2 linked regions of the Pelodiscus sinensis genome follow. The protein of the gene in region 1 purifies or fractionates together with the protein of each later gene. This does not show direct contact. Links are inferred from orthologs where the notes say so. Each region holds a gene or a part of one and is shown on either strand. Other genes may lie near its edges.

Evidence for each region. The genes of interacting proteins can lie anywhere in the genome.
Region 2: the proteins of inward rectifier potassium channel 4 (region 1) and DLG4 purify together in Homo sapiens (affinity purification with western blotting, with the first as the bait; 3 studies listed by BioGRID). This does not show direct contact. The link is inferred for Pelodiscus sinensis from reciprocal best matches to the Homo sapiens genes KCNJ4 and DLG4.

The regions. Positions count from the first base shown.
Region 1 is NC_134711.1:91,788,299-91,796,090, forward strand, and holds the start of inward rectifier potassium channel 4, read left to right. Parts: upstream 1-4,733; 5' UTR 4,734-5,124; intron 5,125-7,792. UniProt on the Homo sapiens protein: Inward rectifier potassium channels are characterized by a greater tendency to allow potassium to flow into the cell rather than out of it.
Region 2 is NC_134734.1:9,523,791-9,530,803, reverse strand, and holds the start of DLG4 (disks large homolog 4), read left to right. Parts: upstream 1-3,968; 5' UTR 3,969-4,100; coding exon 4,101-4,217; intron 4,218-7,013. UniProt on the Homo sapiens protein: Postsynaptic scaffolding protein that plays a critical role in synaptogenesis and synaptic plasticity by providing a platform for the postsynaptic clustering of crucial synaptic proteins.

The sequences.
Region 1 (7,792 bases):
AAAAAAATTCTGAAAGAATGGATGTGCTTTTTCGCCATCCTTGTAAACCTCATTCTACAAGGAATAAGGGATGGCTCAAAAGAACACTTTTTTTCTAAATTTGGCTCCATGTAAATGTGCCAAATTTCGAAAAAGCCTCTTTTAAAATTAAACAGAAAAAAGACACACAATCTAGAGGTAGCCCCGGTTTCACCACTAACCCATCTAAATATGCAATATTGGTAGTGGAAACCAAATACGATCTTGGGGAGAGGTATAGTGAAACTGAACAAGTTAGAGGCAATACAAAGTTGGCCTTGACCATTCAGGAAGAAAGAGGTGAGAACGTTTCTGGGGATAATAGGATACTTATTGCAGGTCATTCATTCACCACTTTGCCACCAGGGCATGCTCTCTGATCAATCTCAAAAAGGCTAGAGACTCAGATAGAGTGTACATTAGTAGAAAACGCTTTCCCTGAGAACAAAAGTATGGCATGTTGGAGAAGGCTATCTTAGGATAAAGTGGGTCATGGAAATTCTGTGGAACTACCTGCTCGGATAGATATTTACCCTCATTACAGACCATTCTGCCCTGAAGTGCAGGCGCTAGAACAAATTTAAAAAATGGAAGAGAAACAAAATGGGTCTGTTGTGACAACCTCCCACATCAAGGTGCGGCAGGACAGGAATCAGGCAGAGCAATGCTGATAGCCTGCCAGAAGTATGCTGTTTCCTGGTCCATGCAGCCCATAATATTGAGCCAGAGCACAGGGGTAGGGGTCAAGATGTGACAAACTCAGGCCAGTTGTAAGTGAACGCAGGTGTATCTGTCCTACAATGGTCACGGCCCTTCCCCCTGTGAATTGAAAAGAGGTTACTTCAGGTTAATTAGAGACACCTGACTCCAGTTCAGGGCCACCTTTAATAAACCCTCTTCTGGTGCTAGAGGGAGCAGATGGAGAAAAAACCCCACAAGTGACAAGAGGGATGGAGTAGCAGGGAGAAAAGGTGGAGGGCTGTTCCTCTATAGGGAGGAGAAATATACTCCAACCACATACCTCTGCCAGAGGCTGACATGGCCACAGAGGAGCCTGATCACAGCACCCAAAATCAGAGGCCACTTGGGCAAGTGCGGCTGTTAACTTCAGTTTGGCCCAGGCCTTATGTTAACTCACATTCCAGGGAGCTGAGTCCTCCCTCCTTTTCTCCCTCCCTTCACTTCACTTCCCCCATCCCCACAGCAGCAGCAGGAAAGGTTGGCGGAGTGGGGCTATTTTTGGGAGCATCTCCCTAGCAACGGCTGCCACCACCGTCTGTGGTGGTTTTTCCATAGGTGCTAAAATATTCTATGCTGCTTATTAAAGAAAGTGGCTAGGGGAGAGCGGCGGGGATGGAGAGAGTTAGCCATCTACTCCCTCACCCAGCAGTTTGCAGCTGGCAATGCGGGGTACAGCTGACCCTGGCTGAAGAGGGTGAGAGAGAAACAGGTGTATTTATATGAAGATGGTCTCCATTGTGGGTCAGTGAAGTTTGCTATAGGAAACACACACACACACACAACAGCCCCTGCTGGCAATGGTCCACCAGTCCTGCCATGCTATATCTGTAGAGGAGGCACAATCAGCTGCTTGTTTGGGAGATGAGGGGGAAGAGTTGGTGCTTCATGTCTTGTCCTTTCTTTACTCACTGTTCCTCACTGTGGCCGAGGTCAGATTGGCAATGACAGCATTTTGGGGGGAGTCGTGCCCAGGGAAGGGGAGAACAACGTGTCACAGAGAACTCATCTTTTCCCCCCTTAAAAATAAGAATATTGCTTTCTCAGTCTATTGGAATTTTTTGTCAGGCCCCCATCACTGTAGGAGCTGAGCACCTGATGAGTGCTAAAGGTTTTATCCTCTTACCCCCTCCCGAGAGTCTGGGAAGAATTGTCCTCATATTAGAAATGGGATATTGAGACACAGCGAGGTGAAGTGACTTGCCTGAGGTGACACAGGGAATTTGTGGCAGAGCCAAGAGCTCCTGAATCTTGTTCCAGTTCACACCCATCCAGCATTCCTGGCTGTGAAAGTAGCATATGTAGAGTTATGAGTGAAGACAGGGTCTGATCATCGAAATAATTCATGTGTTCAGTGCCTTTAGCGCTGAAGGTTCCCAAAGTACTTTATCACCTATGCTGGAACCCCTGAAGCAGAGCTGCCTTGACAGTGCACCACAACACACTTTTCAGAAGTCAGGAAACAACCATCTATGACTGAAGCTACAGAGGGGCTATTAGGCAGCAAGAGTTCAAATACCCAAACAGGAGTTGGACTATCATCATCAACAACTAGCAGGGGCTCAATGCCCATTGGTGTCCGATGCCTCCCTCACTATTTCCTTCCATCTTTCCCTGTCCAGTGCGAGTGGCTCAGGGTATGTCTACACTACATGGCTCCGTCGACGGAACCACGTAGAAGAGCTTTGTAGACATAGCAAAATGAAGTGGCGATTTAAATAATCGCCACTTCATTTACATCAAAATGGCTGCCGCGCTGTGCCCATCAGCTGTTTATCGGCACAGCACGGTAGTCTGGACGCTCCACAGTCAATATCAAAAACCTTTGTCGACCGCCCCATTATGCCTCGTGGGATGAGGTTTACCGGGGCGGTCGACAAAGGCTTTTGATGTTGACTGCGGAGCGTCCAGACTACCACGCTGTGCCGACAAATAGCTGATCGGCACAACGCGGCAGCCATTTTGATGTAAATGAAGCGGCGATTATTTAAATAGCCGCTTCATTTTTCTATGTCTACAAAGCTCTTCTACGTGGCTCCGTCGATGGAGCCATGTAGTGTAGACATACCCTGCGTTTCTGTATGACAGCACCTATAGCTCTTAGGGAAAGAGTTATGGGGCATTTATGGCTACAAATAATGGTTTAACAGTATGGCTATGTCTAGACTACAGGCTTCTTTCAGAAGTAGCTTTTCTGGAAGAGATCTTCCAAAAAAACTTCTTCTGAAAGAGACCGTCCACACTGCAAAAGTGCATCGAAAAAGCCATCTGCTTTTTTGAAACAGAGCGTCCAGACTGAATGGACACTCTCTCACATGTAAGCTGTGATTGCTATGGGCGGAATGGCCACCAGGGCATCTGTGCTTTTTGCTCTTTCCTCTTCTTCTGAAAGAATTCCCTCTTCCCCGTCCACAGACACCTTTTTCCAAAAGAGCTCTTTCACAAAAAGGCTTCTTCCTTGTAGAAAGAGGTTTACCAATGTCAGAAAAACCCCTCTGTTCTTTTGATTTTTTTCGAAAGAACGCAACTGCAGTGTGGATGTAAGTGAAGTTTTTTTTCAGAAAAATGTCTGTTTTTCCAAAAAAACTCTGCAGTGCAGACATAGCCAATAATGTCTCATTAGAGGGCTCTCAGCTCTCTGCTGGTACGAATTCAGTACTGACTCAGAGGGAAGAGCACGCCTCCCGACTCACAGATGCCAGCTCCTGGATCACTTGACCTGCCCTGGAGGTCTCCCATGCCAGGGCTAAGCAAACTGTGCTCTGGGGAGCCCTTGCGGGTGGTCTGCCAAGAGCAAGCTGGTTGCAGGATGCTGGCTCTTCTCCTTGGCAGTTGTGAAACTGCACAGAAAGAAGCTAAAAACACATCTTTCCCTATATTGCTGTGCCATGGAAATGTTTGCTGTGGCTGCCACGGGGATGGTGTTTGATTGCCAGTGGGAGGAGAGGTGGTATCACGCATGGGAGGAGAGGTGGCCTCAAGGCCATGTTTGATGATTAGGATGTGAGCCATGTTCTGAAAGGGTCTAGAAACCTGTGGATGAGGAAATCCATTGAACCCATAATTGCCCAATGATTGGTCCTGAAACCCAAAGGTCAGGCACCTAAGGAATAGCTGAAGGGAGAGCCCTGTTACCTGTACCTTGTTCTAATTGCACCCCCTGTGCTTTCCTCTGACAAAGAAGCCCCTGTTCCTGCTAGAGGAGCAGCCCTGTGAACAATAGTCAGTCACTGCTGAGAGGTGAGACCCAGAGCGTGTTTTCCTGGCTGAATCTTTCAGCAGGTGAGGAACATGAAGAGCACAGCAGGCTCTGAAATAATGCCACAGGGAACCTCAGAAGGCCCACAGGGAAGGACCCTGGAAAGATCCTCTTTGTAAATCTATAGTAGAATCACCCAGTCCTGGGAACTGCTTCAAATCCAGTGACAAGCAAAAACAGCGATGACACACGGCACCGTTGGAGAAAGTTCTGGAAGAGTGCGCTAGCGGGTGAATTAGAGGGAGATCAGATCCCTGGAGTGGATGCTCGGTGCCGCATCTGGGAAGAAGGAAAAAAAGGACCTGGATTTCTATGCTTTCTGGTACAGAATATGTGGCAAGCCTCTGCAGGCCACTGTGCTCCATGCAAACATGCCTGGGGCATCTGAGCGCCAGCTGCATGTGTTCCCATTCCCGTTTCCATTGCTTTGGGTTGCACTTTCAGCTCTCCCCATCTCTGCCTCTGCAGGGTGTATCCAAGGCTCTGAGATCACATGTGAGGATGGGCTAAAGTAGCAGAAAGCTGTTGGATTCTACCAGAGAGTTACTGACTTCTTAGCTACCGACTGCACAGCAATCGGAGAGAGAGCGAGAGAAAGTGAGAGGGAGGAAGGAGAGTGGAGAAAAAGGCGATAGAGGGATGGTAAAATAGAGACAAACTGAGGGGGGGGGGGGGGGCGGGATGAGGTGGAGAGGCGGGGAAAGAGACAACCAGACAAAAAAAGAGAAAGAGGGAGATAAACAGACAGAAGGGAGAAATCGGTCCAATAAGTCATTGCTCAGCTGCAGAGAAATAAAGCTCATGAAGGATGGAAATTCCTCAAAGCAAAAAATGCTAAAAAGAAAGAGGGAGATACAAAGTGCAGGAAAGGGAAGGCAATAGAGATGAAGGAAAGTTAGAGCACGGCAGAGGGAATTCTTAGGAGGAAAAAGTAGCTACTTGAAAAACAGACAGGAGAAGAGACAGAAAGCAAGACTAAAAGGAGAGAGACCCCTGGATTTCTTAAATCCAGGCTCAGGTTTCATGGTGGGATGGAGAAATCTCCCTCTTTTCCCGTCCCCTGACTTTTGGCTTTCCAGGACTCAAACAGGGAATAACACAGAACCTGGGTAAGAAATTATTATGGTTATTAGCCTCATTATAATTTTTCTTGGATGTTTGTTATGATGATTATGCATAATTACATAAGAATTATCTATGAAAATATATATAATACATATAACTATGTGTGTATATATACATGTATATATGGCTGCATATATGTGCGTGTGGGTATGTGCATATGTAAATATGTATATATATAAAAACTGTGAGAGTGTATATATAAAATAAAGTGTAAATGTGTGTGTGTGTGTGTGTGTGTGTGTATATATATATATATATATAAAAAGTATATGTATTTAAAGATATACATATATACACATGCAAACACATGTGCAAGTATATGTATATATACAGATATATAGTTAAAGCTCCTTAACTTTCCCTCCTTTTTTTGACCTGGAATGTCAACTTTGGTTATGTTTATTTGACTTTTTATTGTTAGCCACAAATAATTTGTTGGCTGCTCCCGTTTACAAGGGGATTGTTTTCCCTACATCTCTTGCCCCCCAATTGCTGGCACCCTTCACGTCTTGTGTGCCTTTCTAACCCATTTCCCTAATACAGCCTGAAGATGTTGAGGTGCTGGATTCCTTGGGCATGTGCTCAAAGACTCGGGCACATCAGGGTTGAAACAAACATGCTGGTTCGCTCTCTGTGAAGATTGTCCGAATTGATAATCGATATTCCCACAGTCCTCTGTCCAGCCTCTTCTAGGTCACTGATTGTCTGTGTTGCTGATCTGATTGGCAGAAATGAAGCCCCAGAAAGCAGTGTTTAAAGCAGCTTCAAACTCTTGAGTTTCTTTGAAGCTGAGGAAGCAGCGAACAAAATACCGGGGAAAGTCTCTGCCCAATCTAATCTCTGTCTCTCTTTGTGTGCACCCATCACTACAGTGTGTTTTGTCAGCAAGTGTGGGTGGACCAGACATGTTTCATGTGAACTCCTGCTGCCACCTCCTGCCCTGGGGGTCCCTCCTGTTTATATTGGACAACACATTCTCCGCAGTGGGCAAATTCCAGAGGAGGTCCTTCTGCTAGGGACCAGAGTCCATTACCATATTCCATTATACACATTGGAGAGGGTCCAGTGGAGGGCAACCAAAATGATTAGGGGGTTGGAGCACATGACCTACGAGGAGAGACTGAGGGGTTTGGGCTTATTTAGTCTGCAGAAGAGAAGAGTGAGGGGGGATTTGATAGCAGCCTTCAACTTCCTGAAGGGAGGTTCCAAAGAGGATGGAGAGAGGCTGTTCATAGTAGTGACGGATGGCAGAGCAAGGAGCAATGGTCTCAAGTTACAGTGGGGGAGGTCTAGGTTGGATATTAGGAAAAACTATTTCCCTAGGAGGGTGGTGAAGCACTGGAATGGGTTACCTAGGGAGGTGGTGGAATCTCCATCCCTAGAGGTGTTTAAGTCTCAGCTTGACAAAGCCCTGGCTGGGTTGATTTAGTTGGGATTGGTCCTGCCTTGGGCAGGGCGCTGGACTTGATGACCTCCTGAGGGCTCTTCCAGCCCTAGGATTCTATGATTACCAGACTCCATCCCTGCAAATCTGTGGATAGCCACAACTCATTTTTTTACGGATATAGATGCAGATACAAATTTTGTATCCATGCAGGGTTCTGTCCATCCATTCCCCACATCACTTGGCGGAAGTAGGAGGTGACAGCCATGGCTTGATGTCCCAGTTAGAGGATTCTATTTTAGCATATTCAGGAAGCATTGGTGATGAATGACCCAAATGGCTAGTAGAAGAGACGTCTATCTAAGGGCTGGTCTATGCACTGTTTTTGTGCTGCAGTATCTACGGAGAAACTGATGTAATTAGATCATTGCAACACCCTCCACCCAGCATGGGTACAATTATCATGGTGTAAAGGTGCTTACATTGGTATAGCTCATTCCTGGCCATTTACCAAAGCAAGACACTTTTATACTGGTGCAGCTGCATCCACACTAGGGTTGTATTGACTGAACAGTCAGATATAGCAGCACAAAAACTGTGCCTCTCTATCCTGATGGAGCCCAGTCCCACTGGATTTATTTAGCTGAGCAGCCTCACTGACGTCAATGAGATGATATTGACTTCAGTGTGCACAGAGAGCAGGATTTGGTCCGAAATGTATTTGAATGGGTGACATGTGACAAAGAAAGCCACCCCCTTCCAATCCATAGGGAGCAGTGCTAACATGGGCGCTAAAATGGATGGGCCCCCGATGAAGTGCCCTGGCCTTGCTGGGAGGTTGGAAAGAGAATAGCTTTCCTCTTTACCTGCTATTTTCTAAGGTGTAAAGCAGATGGGACTGGGTATATGAATTTACCTTTGGGATTTTCTCTTGAAATCCCATTGAGCAATTTTTGTTCACATGATTAAAAGTGGATTATGCTATCACCCTCTCAAACGGGCAGCAGGCTATGAGAGGAAGGTGGCAATCTATGATGAAGTCCCTGTCACTGGAGGTGTTTTCACACCAGTCTGGACAAACACCTGTCAGGGATATTCTAGTTGTCTCAATGCAGGAGGCTGGCCCCAATGACCTCTTCACCCCTTTCCAGCCCTACAGCTCTAGGATTCTATGGATGTCAAAACTGGTGTTCCATATGGTCAGGTGAGGAAGGGCCAACAGCTGAAAGAGACCAGACCCAGCAGGTGTGACACCCAACTTGTGTCCT
Region 2 (7,013 bases), on another chromosome or scaffold:
AAAATACCCCCATTACCTACAGTTTTCAGACACACACAATTTTTTTCTACTGTTGCAACACATTTGTTTAAACAACTTAACCGTAGCCAGGCGGGCGATGAAATTTCTGGGTGTAAAACATACAGAAATAATAAAGCACTGTAAAACTTAAAAAGAAAAATTCAGTTTTCTCCAAGTTTCAATTGTGTTGACGTACCCCCCAGGCTTCTCTCGAGTACCCCTAAGGGTATTTGTACCACTGGTTGAGAAACACTGATCTGGTCCAGTCTCCTGCATTTATGGTAGGACCAAGCACAATCTAGGCCATCCCTGACAGGTGTGTGTCTAACCTGCTCTTAAAAACCACCAATGATGGAGATTTCGCAACCTCTGGTGGCAATTTATTCCAGTGCTTAACCAATCTGACAGGAAGTTTTTCTTAACATCCAACCTAAACCTCCCTTGCTGCAATTTAAGCCCATTGCTCCTTGTCCTATCATCAGATGTTGAGAACAATTTTTCTCCCTCCTTCTTGTAACAACCTTTTATGGACTTGAAAACTGTTATCATGTCCTCTCTCTATCTTCTCTTCTCCAGACTAATCAAATCCAAATTTGTTCATCTTCCCTCATAGTCAGTGTTCCCTTCAGGTGACTCAGTCAGCTCCATGCACTGAGCCCTGGGCCTCTGACTAGGCAGGGTTGATTAATCACCTGTTAAACTGGGCTGCTGCACAGCTTAGAGGGAACACTGTTCATAGGTTATGTTTTGTTGATCTTTCATCATTTTTGTTCTTCTCCAGTGTTTCTCCAATTTCTCCACATCATTCCTGAAATGTGGTGCCCAGAACTGGACACAATACTCCAACTGAGGCCTAATCAGTGCAGAGTAGTGCGGAAAAATGACTTCTCGTGTCTTGCTTAGGGTTGCCAGATGGTTTCAACAGAAATACCGGACACACTTGTCATTACATCACAATCTACATTACATCTTATTTAGAAAATACCGGACATTTATATTTTCTCATTTCTATGTTCTCAATTTGTTTCCAAACAGAGAGCTCAAATACTGGACTGTCTGGTTGAAAACTGGACACCTGGCAACTCTAGTCTTGCTCACAACACTCCTGTTAGTGCATCCCAGAATCATGTTTGCTCTCTCTCTCTCTCTCTCTCTCTCTCTCTCTTTTAAAGCAACACGGTCATACTGTTGACATATTTAGCTTATGGTTCATTATGGCCCCAAGATCCCTTTCCACAGTGCTCCTTCCAAATCAATCATTTCCCATTCTGTATGTGTGCAACTGATTGTTCCTAAGTGGAACACTTTGCATTTGCCTTTACTGAATTTCATCCTAGTTACCTGGGACAATTTCTCTAGTTTGTCCAGAATCCAGATCATTTTGAGTTTTAATCCTTGCAACCCCTCCCAGATGGAATTATCCACAAAGTTTTTGTCTTCTCTGTGCCATTATTTAAATCATGGATTAAGTTACTGAACAGAACTGGACTCAGAACTGCTCCCTGTAGAACCCCACTTGTTATGCCTTTCCAGTGTGACCATGACCCATTGATAACTTCTCTCAGGGATCAGTTTTGCAAACAGTTCTTCATCCACTTTCTATTAGCTTGTATTTTCCTCATTTGTTTATGAGACAGTCATGTAAGATGGTATCAAAAGCCTTACTAAAGTCAAGATAGGCCATATAGACCACTTCCCCCATTGCAGGATTATGATTTCTTGATTCTGGCATGGTAGCTTTGGAAATTTCACACACCAGGGCTCAGTTGCGCTAGGAGCTGTACGTGGCAATGTTGTGTTAACTCGCTGATTACAGGAGGAAATTGCCTGTCGTCACTGTGTATGTGGACACTACTTGGAAATTCTTCTGCTTTGGAAGTGAATTGTACTAATCCAAATAATGGAAATGTTGTCCATATGGGCAGGTTTTAGTCCAGATTAAATTCAAACCTTCTGATAATCCATATTATTTTCTCATTTTTTGTTAATATGGGTTAATTCCCCAGTTGCTGTTGATCCAGATTCACTCCACACTTTCCATTAATCTGGATTAAATTCCACTCTTCCTTTAATCTGCATTCAGTTATGACATTCTGAACGATTCAGTATCCACTTTCTGTTCATATGGATTCAATTCCCACCCACTGATAATTAGATCTCATTTATCATCATTTAATAATCCAGATTAAGGCCCCACAATCAGTTAATCTGGAGTCATCTCCCACTCTCTATTAATCTGGATTTACTTCCACCTTTCCATTCATATGGATTCAATTCCCACCTGCTCATAATTTGAATTAAATTCCCACCTTCCATGAATCCAGAGTAAATGTCTAATGTCCGTTCATTTGGAATAAATACTTATTTCCAGTAATCTGGATTTCTTTCCCACCTTTTACTAATCTGGATTAATTTTTCATTAATTTAATGAATTAATTGATATAGCCAGTTAACAAAATAGATTCTTTTGGCTACCCCCCTCTTTAAGGGACCAAACAGACGTAATTGTGGATTAGACTGGTGAATTTAGTAGGGGGGAAGGAGAAGTGGTGAGCAGCCCTAAACCAAGGTGTAGTTTTGTTTCCCTGAAGTGGCTCCATCATGCATTAGGTCAGGACTACTCAACACGTGCCCATGGGTGGAATCCTTTGAACATGGCCTCCATTGGGAACATGCTCCATAATGGCAAGTCAATAATAACGGTCGTCAGTTGATATGCGTTCAGTAGTTAAATTCCTAGACTGTCATTGCTCATTAAAAATGTTGTCATATGGATGGAAATTGGGTAACTATTGCATTTGATTAATACAGCAGAACTGACTTAAATGGGGACTGCATGTTGTGTAATTTTGCCTTAATCTTTGTATTCATGCTCATCAGTGTGAAATAAGATATTTGCATATATTTGCATATAAATTTGCATGTATATGTAACCACACTTAAATTGTGGCCCTCCAAAGTTGAGTAGCCCTGCATTAGGTGGTCTCTGTTGGTGGAATAGTTTCTTTGGCTCAGGTTCTAGGGAATGGTGATGATGGACTCAAAGGTTGCTGGTTTTTAAAAGGCTTGCATTTAATCTGAATTAAGACATGCCTGTGTGGACAACATTCCCATTAATTCGGATTAGTGCAATTCACTTCCAAAGCAGAAGAATTTCCAAAGAGTGTCCACATAGACGGTGACAGCTGGCAATTTCCTTCTGTAATCAGGGAATTAACTCACCATTGCCATGTACAGCTAATTCTATGGCCGGAGAGAACTGGGAGAGGACCCCACACTTTGGGGCATAGTATGGTGCCATGATCAGCACCCATCGGTTCTCAACTGTGGGGGCATAGCATCAGATGGAGCAGGCATCCTTAGATGCAACTCCAGGAGCCTGCTTCTTGGAGGTGTTGTGTGCCCTACTCCGCGGAAGGAGGGATGTGTTGGGAGGGGTCTGTGCATGTGTTGTGTGTGGGAGTATCTCAGGGTGGCGGTATATTGTGTTGGGCTTTGTGTGTGCAGGTGTGTATACCTGGGCCCGAGTTAGCGTGTGGGCATCTGGAGCCTTCCTGGCACCTAAATATTTGGGATTCCCCTTAAAATTGCCCCTTACCCTGGAGTCCATATGGATGGGAGCCGGTGCCCCCTAGAGGGGAAAGGCTCTATGCCTCATTCCCTGCCCTCCTGCCCCAGCCAGTCCCTGCCCTGGGGCCAGGTGGGAGCCGCTGCCCACTACAGAGGAAAGAAGTGAGGGGAGAAGTGAAATGGGGAGGAAAGGAGAGGAGGCAGGAGGAAGCAAGGGGAGGGATGGAGCAGCAGGGGGAGGAGTTGGAGGCAAGGGGAGAGAAAGCAGCGGGAGGGGGAGCGATGGAGCTGAAGGAGGGGCGGGAGGAGGAGGAGGAAGGAGGAGGGATGGAGCAGGAGGGGAGGGGAGAGACGGAGGAAGGAGGGGGCAGCCGGACGGCCGGACGGAGGGGGCGAAGATCACTCCAAGGACGCGGCGTCCCGGCTGGCAGGAGGGTTCGAGGCCGGTGGCCGGAGGAGGGATGCGGGGGGGGCCCACCCCCCGCACGGGCGTGGGGGGGAGGGGGCGATAGGGGGCGCTGGGGAGAGCCATGGGGCTGAACGGCGTGTCCCCCCCCTTCAGGAAGCTGGGCTGCTTCCCCCCCGTCATGTGCCAGTGCAAAGTGATTTGCAGCAACCGGACCCTGTCCCTGATGTTCGGGTGCAAGGTACCGCGGGGGGGCGGTTAGACCCAGTGTCGGGGAGGGGGAGGGTGCGGGGGGATTCGTAGCTGGGGGTGAGCTGATGGGAGAGCGGTGGGGGCAATGTGAGGTGACACATGGCCCCGGGGAGATGTGCTGACACCGCCATTCTGATCCGGTGGGTTCGGGGTCTGGTTCTGGCGTGGCCCGGTGCAGCCCAGGGGTCTGGCGTTGGTCCGCTTGGCACAGACGGATCCAGTACTGATTGGGCAAGGGCCTGGCATGTCCTGGGCTCGGTTCTGGTACCAGCTGGGCAGCGAGTCTGGCTGGGTCTCTGGTACCGGCTGAGGTGGGTCTGGTGCTGGGATGGGAGCGGGGCTGCAGGACCTGTGGGACAGAGGAAGGGGGCTATAGGGCTCGGAGAGCAGGGTGGGTCTGGAGGGGTCTGTGGGGCTGGTTTTGGAGGTTTTGTGGGGCTGAGTTAGGGACAAGTCGTTATGCAGGAGAGGGAACTGGCTTGGGGGCTAGAAAGGTCTGTAGGGCTGGGTTAGGAGTCTCTGGGGGCTGGAGGACTCAGTGGGGCAGGGTTGGGGTCTGTGGTGGTTGGAGGCTTCTGGGGGGCTGGCTTAGGGGGCAGGGCAGTTTCCAAGCCCTGTTCAGTCTCAGCTGTCCTTAGGCTGTCCTGGAGGCCCGCACACTGGGGATTAGGGGAATTAATCTGCTGAGACCAGTGAAGCTGGGTGGAGAACGACAGAGGGCAGCTCAGCCGTGGGGGGCGGGGAAACTACTCACCATCCCCAATCAGAGCCCCCCAGCTCTGCCTGTGCCCCTCATGCCAGACCTGCAGCCCCCCCTTCTCCTTCTACAGGCTGTCCCCTTCTCCAACTGATCTGGCAGCAGATCAAAGATGGAAGAGTGTGAAGGAAGGGGAGCAGCTCATCGGTAGCATGTGCATTGGGGATATTATGAGGTCTAGTGGTTAGAGCAGGGGGGCTCGGAGCCAAGACTTCCTGGCTTTGGGAGGGAAGGGAGTCTGGGGAGGGGAGGGTCAGGACCTTTAAGTCCAATTCCTGGTTCTGTCCTGACCTGCTGCGTGCGCTTTGACAGTTTTCCCCTCCAGTCCTTTGTGTGGTTAAACTGTTACTTACTTTGTGTGGTGCCTGACCCAAGGGACCGTGAACTGGGAATATGGATGAACTCAATAGCCCTGAAGAGTCAAAGGTGTTAACATGACCCCAAAACTGTCCACCACGCAGTTGCAAAGAAGGTTTAGGGGGGGCCTGGAGACCCCAGACTATGTATTCTCAAGGCAAATGCCCTTTATTCATGATCTCAGAAAGCAGTTGAAAAACTGGCAATGTGGAGCATTAAGTAAGGTTTTAATTTTACCGACATCCCATGTTCCCTGTCCCTTTAGCCGGACAAATCTCTTGTCCGACTGTCTTTTAGCTGGGATTAAAGATGGTAATAACTGCCCTTTTGGAGGGAAGTGCAGAAGATAGAGCTGGGCTGGCACTGTTGCTGCTGCTGTTACAGTCCAATCTCATTTCCTGTGAGATCAAAACAAGACAAAGACACACAGGAGGGTGGGGGGAAAGTCAGCAAAGAGAGAAAATGTTTCTTGCTTGTAGCCGGAATTAAACAAACAAAAGGCAGCATTTCTTCACACAGCACAGTCAACCTATAGAACTCCTTGCCAGAGGATGCTGTGAAGACCAAGGCTATAAAAGGGTTAAAAAAAGAACTAGATACATTCATGGATATAGGTCCATCAATGGCTATTTATCAAGACAAGCAGAGATGATGTTCCTAGTCTCTGTTTGCCAGAAAGTGGAAATGGGCGACAGGATTGGGATCATTGGGTGATTACTAGCGTTCTCTGTAAGATGAGCACTTGGATGGCCACCCAGGAGAGATTCAAATGTTGTCCTATTAATCAGCAAAGTGCCCACAACTGGCAGCATGTGTTTCTACTGGTCGTGCACATCCGCACATATCTTGGGAGCACATAACAAAAGGTATTCTACACATGGATGAAAAAAATAAGAGGGAACATCGGTGATTCCTTGTTCTGTTCATTCCCTCTGACTCATCTGGCATTGGCCACAGTTGGAAGACAGAATACTTGGCTAGATCAGTGGTGCACAACCTGTGGGTTGTGACCTCCAAGGGGGTCGCAGCTGTCTTCCTGGGGGATCTCAGCGCTTTGATTCGGCTGGCCGGGGGCTGGGCCCGGCTGTTGGCAGCCACATGGCGCAGCACTTTGATCTGGCTGGCTGGGAGCTGGGCCTGGCTGTTGGCGGCCCCTGCAGCGCGGGGGTTGCAAATGAAAAAAGGTTACACACCACTGGGCTAGATGGACCTTTGATCTGACTGAGACTGTCCATTCTTATGTTACAGGCCCAGCTGGTCACTCTGAAACCCTGTCAAGCTTGTGCAAGGGTTGGGCTGGTTAGGACCATGCTGCCAGTGGCAGCTTAGAACAGAATTGCCAAGTGTACATTCTTGGCCCGTTGAGCCAGACTCTGATTAGACAGATGGCAAAAGGAGAGGAGGAGGAAAAAGAAGAAATAAGGTGGGAAAGGAAAGGGACACACGAGCTGGGAGGAGGGCAAAAAAGTTTCACAGACCCAGTTTTTCGGGAGTCAACCAGAGCCGGTGGAGGTGGTGATGGTAGCTGGATCCATCTCTTGGCCCAGTTGCATCAGAACAGTTCAGGATCAGAGTGATGTGTTGGCAGTTTCTCTCGGATGCCCTTTGCCTTGAGTGGTAGTCTGGGGAGCAGAGTCAGTTGGTGTATTTGTGCAACTGTCTTCATTCTGA